Drosophila melanogaster: one gene and its partners. The protein of the gene in region 3 interacts with the protein of the main gene of each other region in a pairwise test. Each region holds a gene or a part of one and is shown on either strand. Other genes may lie near its edges.

Region 1 (4,725 bases), on a different chromosome or scaffold from region 3:
CTACATACATTGCATGTGATACGACGAACTAAATTACTCGAAAAATATATATTTAGTCACTGGCATGTTTTATGGATGCGTCGTAATTGAATTGAAGTTTCAAAGGGTGAGAGGTTTGCGGTGAAATGGACCGAAAGCGAATGAATGGCATTTTCCAGCATTTTCCGTGAACAACTGATGATGGCTCTTCGCTGAGTTCTTGTCGGATAATAAATTTGGACAGCGTGTGCGCCAATGGACAAGGTAAATAAGTGTGTTCCATTCTAAGGGTTTGTATTTTTACGAATTTATGTAAGTACAAATAAAGGAGAACGCTTTTCCAGTTAGTGCGTTTACAAACACTTCAGAATTGACAGATTTTATAGTAGTATAGATTAATTCTTCTTTCTTTGTTCTGTTTAAAAAATCATCAAATAATCTAATTTTCATAATTTATAATTGACTAATTCTTTAATTATCTGAAATATTAAATAAGTTTTCTTAGTTTTAATATTAGAACACACCCATTAATTAATGTTCCACTATATCCCAAACCACTTTTCTTCATATTTTATCCCAGACAACAGCTGTTAAAGAATAATTACAATTTGTGGTTACTCAGTCTGGCGTATATAGTACACTTTTGAATAAATATAAATAAAAAAGGAATCTTCGAGGTAAAAACGCGAAAAGATTAATTGAATCACATTAGTCTGCATTGCCGCAGACAAAAATATGCAAACTGAATGCGTAAGCCGCAGAAAATGAAGGGAAAAAAATGGGATGAAAAGCGAAGTAAAAACACAAATTAAAAAATGGAAAACGTGTGTAAATAGCGAGCAGCATTTTCCGACCCTCTCACGTTCTTGTATATTGCGGCTTGTGCAAATTTGCACCTAACCTTCAGAGCCACAACGACAGGTGGCAAACTCGGAAAAATCAAACGAGGGCCAGGAAAATGAGGAGCTTGGGGGCGCCACTTTCCCTTCTCGTTCTAGCGCTCATTTCGTATGCCGCGCAACAAGCATTTATGTAAATTGAAAATATGCCGGTGACGTTTGAGGGGTCGAAAAAATAGGCGGCGATGCCGAGTGGGGTGGTCATTTAAATTCAATTGTCAACGACATCTTCTCCGCCGGCTCTGGAAATCGGAGCTCAGATGAGAGCGGGTCCACTCGCAAGCCCGCATTTAAACAGGCATCTCTCGATAGGAACAATCACTTAGAACTAACTAGCAGCCATAAATAACTATCATATTCTTAAAACGAGAATATATTATAAATCTAATCGAATACATATGCAATCATGATTATTCTAGGGTATCTCCCGTTTAAGTGGGCATGCTAGTTTCAGTTTTTGCTCTTTACTGGTCACTCAAAACCAAAACTACAGTAGGCATAAAATATCATTAAATCTTCAAAAAAGCTTAAAAAATAAATACTTAATAAATGTGATTAAGGAAATCGGATCCAGATTGAACAGCATTTCATGAGGCGTTGCATGTATTTTAAAGATTTCCACTATTCAATATTTTTGAGCACTTTCTGTAGTCCCATTTAGGAAGTGTCCACTGTAGTTACGCGTGTGTACATACATTCACTTATGCTGCACCCAGCGGGTGACCACGCAAAGAGTATTCATATTTATTACTACGGATGCCGTTCAGTTTTCGTTCAACATTTGTGTCGTGCAGACCCAGTCACAGATTCATTCATCGATTGCAGGGGAAGAAAGTGAGGCAGGACCTAACGCGCACCCAGTAGCATCCAAAGCATACACTCAAGGATGGAACGATTGCTGACCATGTTCGAGGAGGCGGATCCCTTCGCCACGTGGTGGCCCACGATAGCGGCCCTCACGGTGGGCATTGTGATTACGGTGCGGTGAGTGCGATGAGTCAACGGAAACTGTGTGATATTTTTTATTCACCCGGCCACATTCCCTACCCCATTCCTACCCTACCCCACCGCACCCTACCGTACCCCAGAAGCCCCCATTTTTTTGGGGCATAAAAACTTTCGCCTCGGACACACGTAAATAAATGTCGCAGCATCCCAGTAAAAACTTCCCCTCCGTCACCATTCGCGGAAAAGTTTTTAAGTGGATTTCATACGGAGATGGTGGAGAACTCGAGAGGAAGTGGATGAGCAGTGGTGCAGAGAAGACCCGGATAATATGTAATATCTGAAGATTATTTCCACTTTTGTTTTTTACACCCTCCGGTACTCGAGGGTTAACAGGGTGGACTTTATTCATGCGAAACAAATTGGAGATAGAACACGTAGCCAACTAAAAAACACACATGCATTAAAAAGTAAATAGAGAACATTTTTAAGGAAAGCATTTAAATTTTCTATAAATAATAAATTTATATATAGTTGGTAAAGTTAGCGTTACACTATACGGAGAATGGCTCTATATGCATACATGGATTAATACATATTCAACACAGTATTTCTTGAAAGCCCTTCTCTAATTTGAGAGTTTTGCCTAATTTGTTTTGTACAGGGTATCTGGTAGTTCAACCATTAATTTACCACGCCGCCTACTAGTTTTTGTTATTCCTGAGCACCGCGAGCATCGCGGTTTTTGTGACCCAACGCTATCTGTCGTTTCGCAGTTGCAGGTGTTAGTTTAAGCTGGGAAAGCGGAAGCGGAAATGGCAGTGACTGCAATATGGCACTCTGCACTTCCCTTGCAAGCAAGTCCCGCCCAAGCCCCTCCGCCACCTCAAAATATTTACAAAGTGGATTTGCGAAAGTTTGGCTCAAAGTAAATGAAATGCCAAATGAATTCCAAAATGAGGGATGGCATGGCAAACTTGGCTCTAAGTGCCAAAAATAAGTCGCCGCCAAATGAAGTGGAGCAAATGGAATGCGGTGAAGATTATAGAGGAAGTAGCTGACTGCAAAATGCAGAAATTAAATTGCCTTCGATTGCGGGAGAGGTGGGCTCTTAAAATTTGGATTGCAGTGAGCATTCTGTTTACAAAGCCAATTATAATAAAAATCAAGCACCTTATGTGAATATCTTTTAAAGTTTCAAAATAAGCTGCATTTGAGCTGATAGCTTACAAGCGAAATAAGTTATTACTTTCAAATGGAATTTTGTTACAAATATGCATAATATTAAACTAAATTTACAGACAAGTGGACTAACTCGCACAAAAAGTGCAATTAAACGAATTGGAAATGAATTAGAACTCAGCCATGCGAATTAATTGACTACAGCACGAATATATACTAATTAGTGAGCTTTGTACCTGTTTAGAGTTTAAAACACATTTCGCATATAGCTTTAGATAATGCCTGTGCTGCAGTAATTTCGTTTGTTTCCCAAGGCTTGAAATTAAATAAATTGACAATTATTGTTTACAGACATACGCACCGTAATTAATGGAGTCGAAAATGAGCGGCCAGAGTTAGCCAAATCGCCAAATGGCCGCAGGCAGACTTATGCAAATAGTCATGCTGATTCCATTAACGCCTATCAATAAGCCAAAATTCCGACTATATGCCTTTACCACCCCTTAACCGCCACCCTTACTACTTTGAAAAAATGTATAAGGTTTATTTTACACAAAAATATTAAAAAACATGCTATAGCTTAAAGCAAATCTATTTTAAACTAATTATGTCAATTTGAAACTTACTATACGCAAAACTGATGATGTATAACATTTTTTAAAATATCTTATATAAAAAGTTTCTTCGATTGTAAAAGCATGACTCTTTTTTTAAGATCTTTTATGAGTTTCATATAAAAAGAATCACTTTTAGTGGTAATATTTAGCTAAGTGCACACACGCAACATGAATGCAGGACATCATTAAGCTACCCATAAACCACTAGCCACACCCACTGATCCACATGCCCGCCCCTTTGCCATCCAACATTCTCCATCCTTCCAACTCCATCTAATCTGTATCCTTTACCCGCATGCCAGGACCTTAATGAGCGGCCAGCGCTGTCCGAACGATAATCAAATCAAGGAGCAAATCGTGGTGGTCACCGGCGGCAACAGCGGCATTGGCTTCGAAATAGCCCAGGCTCTGGCTGGCCGAGGTGGCCGGATAATCCTCGCCTGCCGCAATCTCGAGGCCGGGAAGCGGGCGGCGGCCATAATCAAACGTGAGCTGGGCTGCCGCACACCCCTGAATTCCTTGGATGAGGATGACAATCCGGAGGACAGGTACTTCGTGGAGGCACGCTACTTGGACCTCTGTTCGCTGCGCAGTGTCCATCACTTTGCCGGCCAGCTGATGGCGGAATTCGAGCGGATCGATGTGCTGGTGAACAATGCCGGAGTGGTATTCGCCAACACTCAGATGCCCACCGAGGATGGCTTCGAACGGCACAGCCAGGTGAACTATCTGGCCCCCTTCCTGTTGACCCACCTGCTCCTGCCACACTTGCAACGCTCGGAGCAAGGACGCATCCTCTTCGTTTCCGCCCATGCCCATCAGGGCGCCAAAATCGATTTCGACGATCCCCTGAATGTGGGCACCTGGTCGGTGAAGTTCCACGCCCGCGAAGCATTTGCCCACTCCAAGCTCTGCGTGCTCCTTGCCACCCGTTGGATGGCCAGGGAACTGAAAGGTAAGTGCACAAAGTTCGGGACCTATTCCCCGAGAGGGAACTGGGGAAGTGCACTCGAAGGAGCTGCCTTTTTGGGCTATCTCAATTGCTCTGTTAGTGGCCATTAGGCGGGGAAAAATTTAATTAATGAGTTTCTATTTTTTCGCAA
Region 2 (3,818 bases), on a different chromosome or scaffold from region 3:
TGGCTAGGGCTGTCAATAAGTCGATTAAATAATCGATAGCATCGATTTCTTGGCCCATCGCGAAAGTAAGCGCGAAATTTAAAAACCCAACGGATGTCTTCACCTTCGTCATTCAGAAGAGCATTCGTCATTCATAATTAATGTCGACAAAGGAGTGTACTTGGCATTGCAAATTAGTCAGGCACGTGAAAACACCATTTTTATTTTTAGCCTAATTTGTACGTGTTTTTGAGTGCTTTTAACCTCTCAAACAAACATTTTTGTTGTTTATTTTTAGAACCGCTTATAAACAATATACAACTATATGGCGGAGAAATGGCATTGTGTGAAAAACTTTAATTAGATCTAAGAATATCATTTAATATATTGTTTTTTAATGTGTTTTTATTGCACAGATAGCTATTAATAGCACTTGGAATCTTTCTTTAATAGGAAATCTACTATAGACACTGTTGAAACTAGCTTTAGCTGTAGTTTTTGTATAAAACCTAGTCTAAACTACATGTTTACTATGTTTACCTCTTTATTTCCCTTCCTGTGAAGCTTTCTTAGTCCACCCACCTGAATTGTTTACGCCTCTCACTCAAATCCAGGACTCTTCTCAATGGCTTGGGTGAGTTGCCCGGCGACGTGGCTGCCGCTCCATCATTTTCCTCCTCCAGAGAACTGGACACCGAGGTACTTGCCACCATTTGGAGGGCCAATTGGAGATCCTCCTCACGCATTTTTTGTTGTTTTTTTTTATTGGAAAAGTATGAAAAAAAAACCGAGTTTTGAGACGACAACCTCGTTGTTCCGGTGGCGAGATCCAACTAAGTGACTTCTCGTGCTTCGTTTTCCAAAATATATACAATGCATGCGCATATGTAATACTTGGCAGTGCGATCGGAGAGGTAAGTTGTTGAATAGATGCTATGCCCGCCTCGTACACTCGTACTTTGAATTCATTAAGAGCCTTCCGATATTTACATTTCCAGAGCAACTTTTTTCGAGCGGTCCATATTTTGGCGGCCCCGGGGCGTGGCCGATCTGGTATGAGATCGATTTATAAGCTATGCGTGGATTAATAGCCGGTGGCGCACTCTTAATAATATATGTCCGAAGGTAGCGCCAAGAATATAGGCCCATTTTTGCATTAACACCGATCGATTTTAAGTGGACCTGCGCCTGCCAATATTGTCGATACACATTTTCACATTTTTATATGCCATTTGCATATTCCGTTTGTCCATTTTATATAAGAAATATTTTGTCGCTTTAAATTTGTATTTATGACCAAGGTGAATTCTCAGGGGTGTCAGGAACTACTGATCAAGTAGGGATTTCTTTATTAATAATAATTGTTTGTTTATTGCATTTTTGGGTTTAAGTGTGTAAAGTGGTAAAATTTCATACATTTTTGATTTCATTTTGGTAATATTGATGCTATTTAAATATTTATTTATTACTTGCACCGATTTCCTTCTTAATTTATTTTTAAGTATTTTAGTTATATAAAGAGATTTTCTTTGGATTTAATGTAAATAATTTTTTACATGAATGAATCCGAGCTTACATCTATTCTACATCCGACTTGACTGTTGCATTCTACAGCTGCGCTGCGGTCACACTAAGCGGCAACACCGGGTGGAATCGATAAACAATTACTATCGAACACACATCGATTGTTGAGAGAGCTGTGAAGCCGACGATTTTACGTCAAAAGCGGAATAAGTTTATTTAACGTACGAAAAAGCTAAGCATAATGTCAGCAAAGGCAGCCTTACCACTGCAGATGTTTGGCCGGCGACTCGTCCACCTGAGGTCATCGGTCACTTCTCAAAATATGAGGTAATTCCGGTTGCATTGCTTCCTCTTATCTGTGACGTAATGAGGGCGCACGTTTGTCGTTTCGCATGTAATTCTAACATTGCCTCCCGTCTCACTCCCAATCGTCTACCACACAACCAGTGCCCTGCGTTTGTACAGCACAGAGAAACAGCCGGAAGAAGCGACAGAGCAGAAGGCCACCGAATCGTCGCCAGAAGTTGAGAAACTCACCAAGGAACTGGCCGCCGCCAAGGAGCAGAATGCCGAGCTAATGGACAAATACAAGCGTTCGCTAGCCGACAGCGAAAACATGAGGAACCGACTGAACAAACAGATCAGCGACGCCAAGATCTTTGGCATCCAGAGCTTCTGCAAGGATCTGCTCGAGGTGGCGGACACACTGGGACATGCCACACAGGCGGTGCCCAAGGATAAGGTACAAACTATCTTATCTTAAGATTTAAGGTTTAAGGTATCTTAAGGATTCAGACTCGCAATGAAGTTGCATATGTTGAGATAAGAATTTCGTAATTATTTGTTGCCAATACTTGAAAATCTTCATAGCATTTTAAGGTGTATTTTCCCGATCTTTCCATTTCTATCTGAGAGATAACAAACCCGATTGCATTACATACATCTAATTGTACATATAGATTTGTTGGGGTATTTTAAATTGAGATATTTGGATAACTTGTTAGCCATTTTAGACTTAATAGATAGTTTAATCGTTTTGCATTAACATTCTTAAAGCTACCCTTACTAATGATCTTAATTATTGCAGCTCAGCGGCAATGCTGATTTGAAGAACCTGTACGAGGGCCTCACCATGACGCGCGCCTCGCTGCTGCAGGTGTTCAAGCGACACGGACTGGAGCCACTGGATCCCATCAACCAGAAGTTCGACCCCAATCAGCACGAGGCGCTGTTCCAGAAGGAGGACAAGACCGTCGAGCCCAACACCGTGGTGGAGGTGACCAAGCTGGGCTACAAACTGCACGAGCGTTGCATACGTCCGGCCTTGGTGGGCGTGTCGAAGTGTTGATAGCCATGCGGCTGCCCAGAGGCATGTAAAATTCCCAGTACTCCCCCCCCCCCCCTAAACCAATTTACATGGCGTGTGTCTCTCAATTGTTTGCAATTTGTTTTCCGCTGCAAAATTCATGTACGTAAACCCTGTGTAAATACAACCTATCCCACAAACGCATCCTTCGGGCAAAGCTTGCGAATTTAGAATTCCTCCTAGTTTCTAAGAGATCTGTGACTGGATTTGATGGCCACAATTTGTACCATACGCGTGGCCATCGAGTGTTCCACTTTAAGGTTTAATTACGATAATAAAACATGTTTTAGTTTGTTGAAATATACCACGGAAATTTGTATTTCATCCTCATCTGGAGGAGACTCTGTTTATCTAGGTCTCTTTTTAGTTTCCTTTGATTTTCCCCGTTTTCCTTAGCCCTTGAAATTCGAATCCCTCATGAAAAACCATTTCTTTTGTTAACAAAAACCAGGTAGCGAAGCGTAATCGCATTCCTGCTCGTCGCGTAGGTGGAAAATTCAATGGAAATGCGTGATTTTCTATGACCCAGCAGGTAGGCTTCCAAGCACGTTCCCATGAATTCAGAGGTAGCACAGATGGTGGGTTCCCTAAAACGAGATTTGCGCCAGAGTTGAAAGTCTACTTCAAACGGTTTTGAACTATCTCGTTGGTTAGTTGTCCTTAAACATTTGAAGTGAACGGTATGATTGGTGTGCTAATGCGTTTTCTCTGGTCCTTGGCCATGGTGCAGTGCATCCAGGCTAGAGTGTCGATGCTGCCTCGTTTTTATGGACAAGACAGCGCTGTTATAGTGGACATCAATAGAAAATTCCCACCTAGAATGGACTCCAAGCTGCAGAATGCCCTGTACTACAACCTGCCGGTCTACAAACTGATAAAGCCAACCACAACAACTACGACAACCACGACGGCTGCTCCAACCTCTGGCTATCCTGCTGATCTCCTGAAC
Region 3 (3,105 bases):
ATTAATTATGTACGAAACTGAAACTGTGAGGGGAAACAAAATAAGGAACTTTAACAATTTCTTTAGGTATTCCCTTTGAAAGTTTCTAAGAACATGCTTGATAACCTTTAAAATCTAGAGTGGAATATGTGGAGTATGTATACGTCCTTGAAATATATATAGTGTGTTTTTTATACGAAAATAAAAATGTGTCTGTAAAATTAATTAACCAACTTAAGTTGATTTAAACATGGTTTTCTTATTCTTATATTAAACAAAGTGATAAAACTCAATAGATTATTTATAGTGTAATTACACTCAATACACCTACAAACTCAGAGTTCATACAAGTGCTAACTAAACAGTCTGCAACATTCGGTCCTAAAGGGATTGATACATTTATTTGACTGCCAAATATTGTACACCCGTTTTTATGTGCGAAAATATCGGCCAGAAATGTCTGCCTATATTTAAATAACTCTGTCGCAATGACCGTAGCGAAACGTGTCCGACAACGGTTTTAAAAAATTAACAACATTGCTCCAATTAGTCTGGGCAGTGCGGATCATAATTGTATGGGCACACATCGTTCTTATATAGTATATACATATGTATATTTCGCAGGCATTCGAATATCCAAATTTGCGTCACGGCACTGAGTTTTTGCGACTCCTTTCGTTTTTAAATCCATTTGGTTATCACCATGGACAGACGCTTAAATTGAATTTATAAATAGTAACAGACCACTATTTAACTAATAGACTCAAATTCGAACAGCAAAGACTTACTAATCAAACAGATGTCGACTTACTTAAGAGCTAGTTTTTATCGATAAGTGAGCTGGATTTATTAAAAAACTAAAAAAAACCCAGCTAAAAGTCCTTGAAATTTTTACTTTTATTTTGCACTGCTAATAAGATATAATTTTGGGCTTCCTAGTTGATTCAGTATTCCGAGATATAATGTATATTTATAATTATTTACTAATATTTGTTAAATATAACTAATAATTATCAGGTCACTGTTAAACAAATAGTTTTACCTATTCTCGCTTTCGCCGTCAGATGGCTGAATCGAATTTGGCAAAAAGGTAATTTAACTATTTACGAATGGTTTTCGTCGGACATATGGTGGTGATGGGCCTGACTAATTATCCACTGAGATCTGCACGGCCGACAAAGGAAAACAAACAAATATTTACGGAACACACATCCATTTGATTGCCTGCGGTTGGTGGACCCTTCCTCTTCATTTTCATCGCAACATCTGGTCCTGAAATTGAAGGACCTCTGACCAAACGAATCAGCTGTGTCCAAGGTCGCACCCCTGTAGTTTTAACGGCAAACTCCCCATTTCCATTTGAGTCAATACTCATCGCCTTTTACCTTTCGGTTCCGCAGTGGGTCAATAATTAAACTAACGATGAAATTGATACGTTGTATATCCAAACTCACATTTATCTATAAGTTTTAGATACGGTATTTATGTGTTTCCTTCAAATAGTTGTTTGAGTAGATTACAAAACTAGAAACATGGTTGAAATTGTTATTTATTTGTTTCAATGGAACCTATTTAAACTTTCTCACCCAACTTGGTAAAAATTAGAGCTTATTTTGCATCACTATTCTAGCGAATCCGTTTCGGTCATAGGCTATTTCCCTATGCCGGATCGATTTGCACCACATTAGCATAGCTCCATCGACAAATGCGTTAGTATCTATCCGGAAATGGAGCGACTTAATTTGTCGAACAGGGCTCGCCTGTTTTTCCACCTGTCGGCCACCGTTCACCTGGGCTATGCCATTTACTTTGACTGTCGGTATGCCCAGTTGCCACAAGTGGCGGTGACCCTGCGCCTGGAGCCACCGATTGGTGGCAAGTTTAAGTACATGACGTTTCTGTGCGGCCTTTTGCAGTTGGGGTACTATACACTGGCGCTGACCTTTGACCTCCTCCGATTGAGATCTCTAAGGAAGCTGCGAGACTACATCTTCGCCACCTTTGCCGTACCTCTGGCCCTTACGGTGGGTCTCACCTTTTGGACACTCTTCGCCATCGATCGGGAAGTGATATATCCGGTGCTTTTGGACCTGGTCTATCCCAATTGGCTGAACCACACCATGCACACCTTCGTCGTAATCTATGCCTTTGTGGAGTTGGGTATTACACGACATCAATATCCGAAACGCAGTCGAGGATTCACTGGACTGGGTGCCTTCATGTTGGGATATCTGGTGTGGATACATATCGTTTGGTTCCGGACCGACATCTGGGTGTATCCCTTTCTGGGCGGCATCGCCTGGCAGCTGAGAGTAATTTTCTTTGTCCTTATCATGGTCCTCGGATTCATTTACTATCTCTTCGGCGAGCGAGTTAATAACGTCTTGTGGCAGCGATCTACTGGTGTCCACAGATGGATCGATTCCCATTGAAATGCACATTTGATAGTTTAAGGATAGGAACATAAATAAAGTATATAGGATATGCTTCTTATTAAATTAAATATGACTACTGTGGAAGTCAAGCTATGCAACTATTCAAATCGTACAAAAGGCGCAGTAATAAAACTAATATACATTTTTGTAGAAACCATAAAATTCAATTCGAAAGTAATAAAACATGTTTCCGGTACAAAGATCAATTGCAATATAAAAGTCGAAATCATCTAATTTTTCAACACACATAACGGAACCGGAAATCGCTCTGAATATATTATTTTGGTTTTCAAATGCGTTTATCATCGAAAAACCAGCTGCTAAGAAGCGGAATCCATATGGATTCGAACATATTCTCATTCAACTATATGATAGTCACGTGCGGAAATTACAGCTGCCAGCTGATTCTGGAAAACCGATCCATTGTTTTACTCAATCCTTTCAGCGGGAGGTTCCGGTTTGGCTAGGATGTGGGCTCCGATTTCGAATATTTCAGGACACCACTTGTGCCAATATTTCGAAAGTGATCTCCGGACAGCCGAAACTCAGAGAAGAAAGGCACAGTTTTTCATTGTTTGCTGCAAAGGCAGATGGGTAACAGCCCATTTCTGTCAATCACTCATTTGTGTTTTCTTAAGGCGGTCTGGTTGTAAACATTTCTATTCTTCCGGTTGTATGCCATTATTAGCAA

Evidence for each region.
Region 1: the proteins of CG6149 (region 3) and naz interact in a two-hybrid assay, tested with the Drosophila melanogaster proteins (one large-scale study listed by BioGRID).
Region 2: the proteins of CG6149 (region 3) and Roe1 interact in a two-hybrid assay, tested with the Drosophila melanogaster proteins (one large-scale study listed by BioGRID).

The regions. Positions count from the first base shown.
Region 1 is NT_033777.3:18,325,858-18,330,582, reverse strand, and holds the start of naz (nazgul), read left to right. Parts: upstream 1-1,640; 5' UTR 1,641-1,764; coding exon 1,765-1,862; intron 1,863-3,924; coding exon 3,925-4,577; intron 4,578-4,725.
Region 2 is NT_033778.4:13,552,437-13,556,254, forward strand, and holds Roe1 (Roe1), read left to right. Parts: upstream 1-1,640; 5' UTR 1,641-1,744; coding exon 1,745-1,830; intron 1,831-1,950; coding exon 1,951-2,245; intron 2,246-2,590; coding exon 2,591-2,851; 3' UTR 2,852-3,170; downstream 3,171-3,818. Other genes in the region: link, read left to right, coding at 3,552-3,818. UniProt on the Drosophila melanogaster protein: Essential component of the PAM complex, a complex required for the translocation of transit peptide-containing proteins from the inner membrane into the mitochondrial matrix in an ATP-dependent manner.
Region 3 is NT_037436.4:11,434,063-11,437,167, reverse strand, and holds CG6149 (uncharacterized protein), read left to right. Parts: upstream 1-1,691; 5' UTR 1,692-1,706; coding exon 1,707-2,411; 3' UTR 2,412-2,473; downstream 2,474-3,105.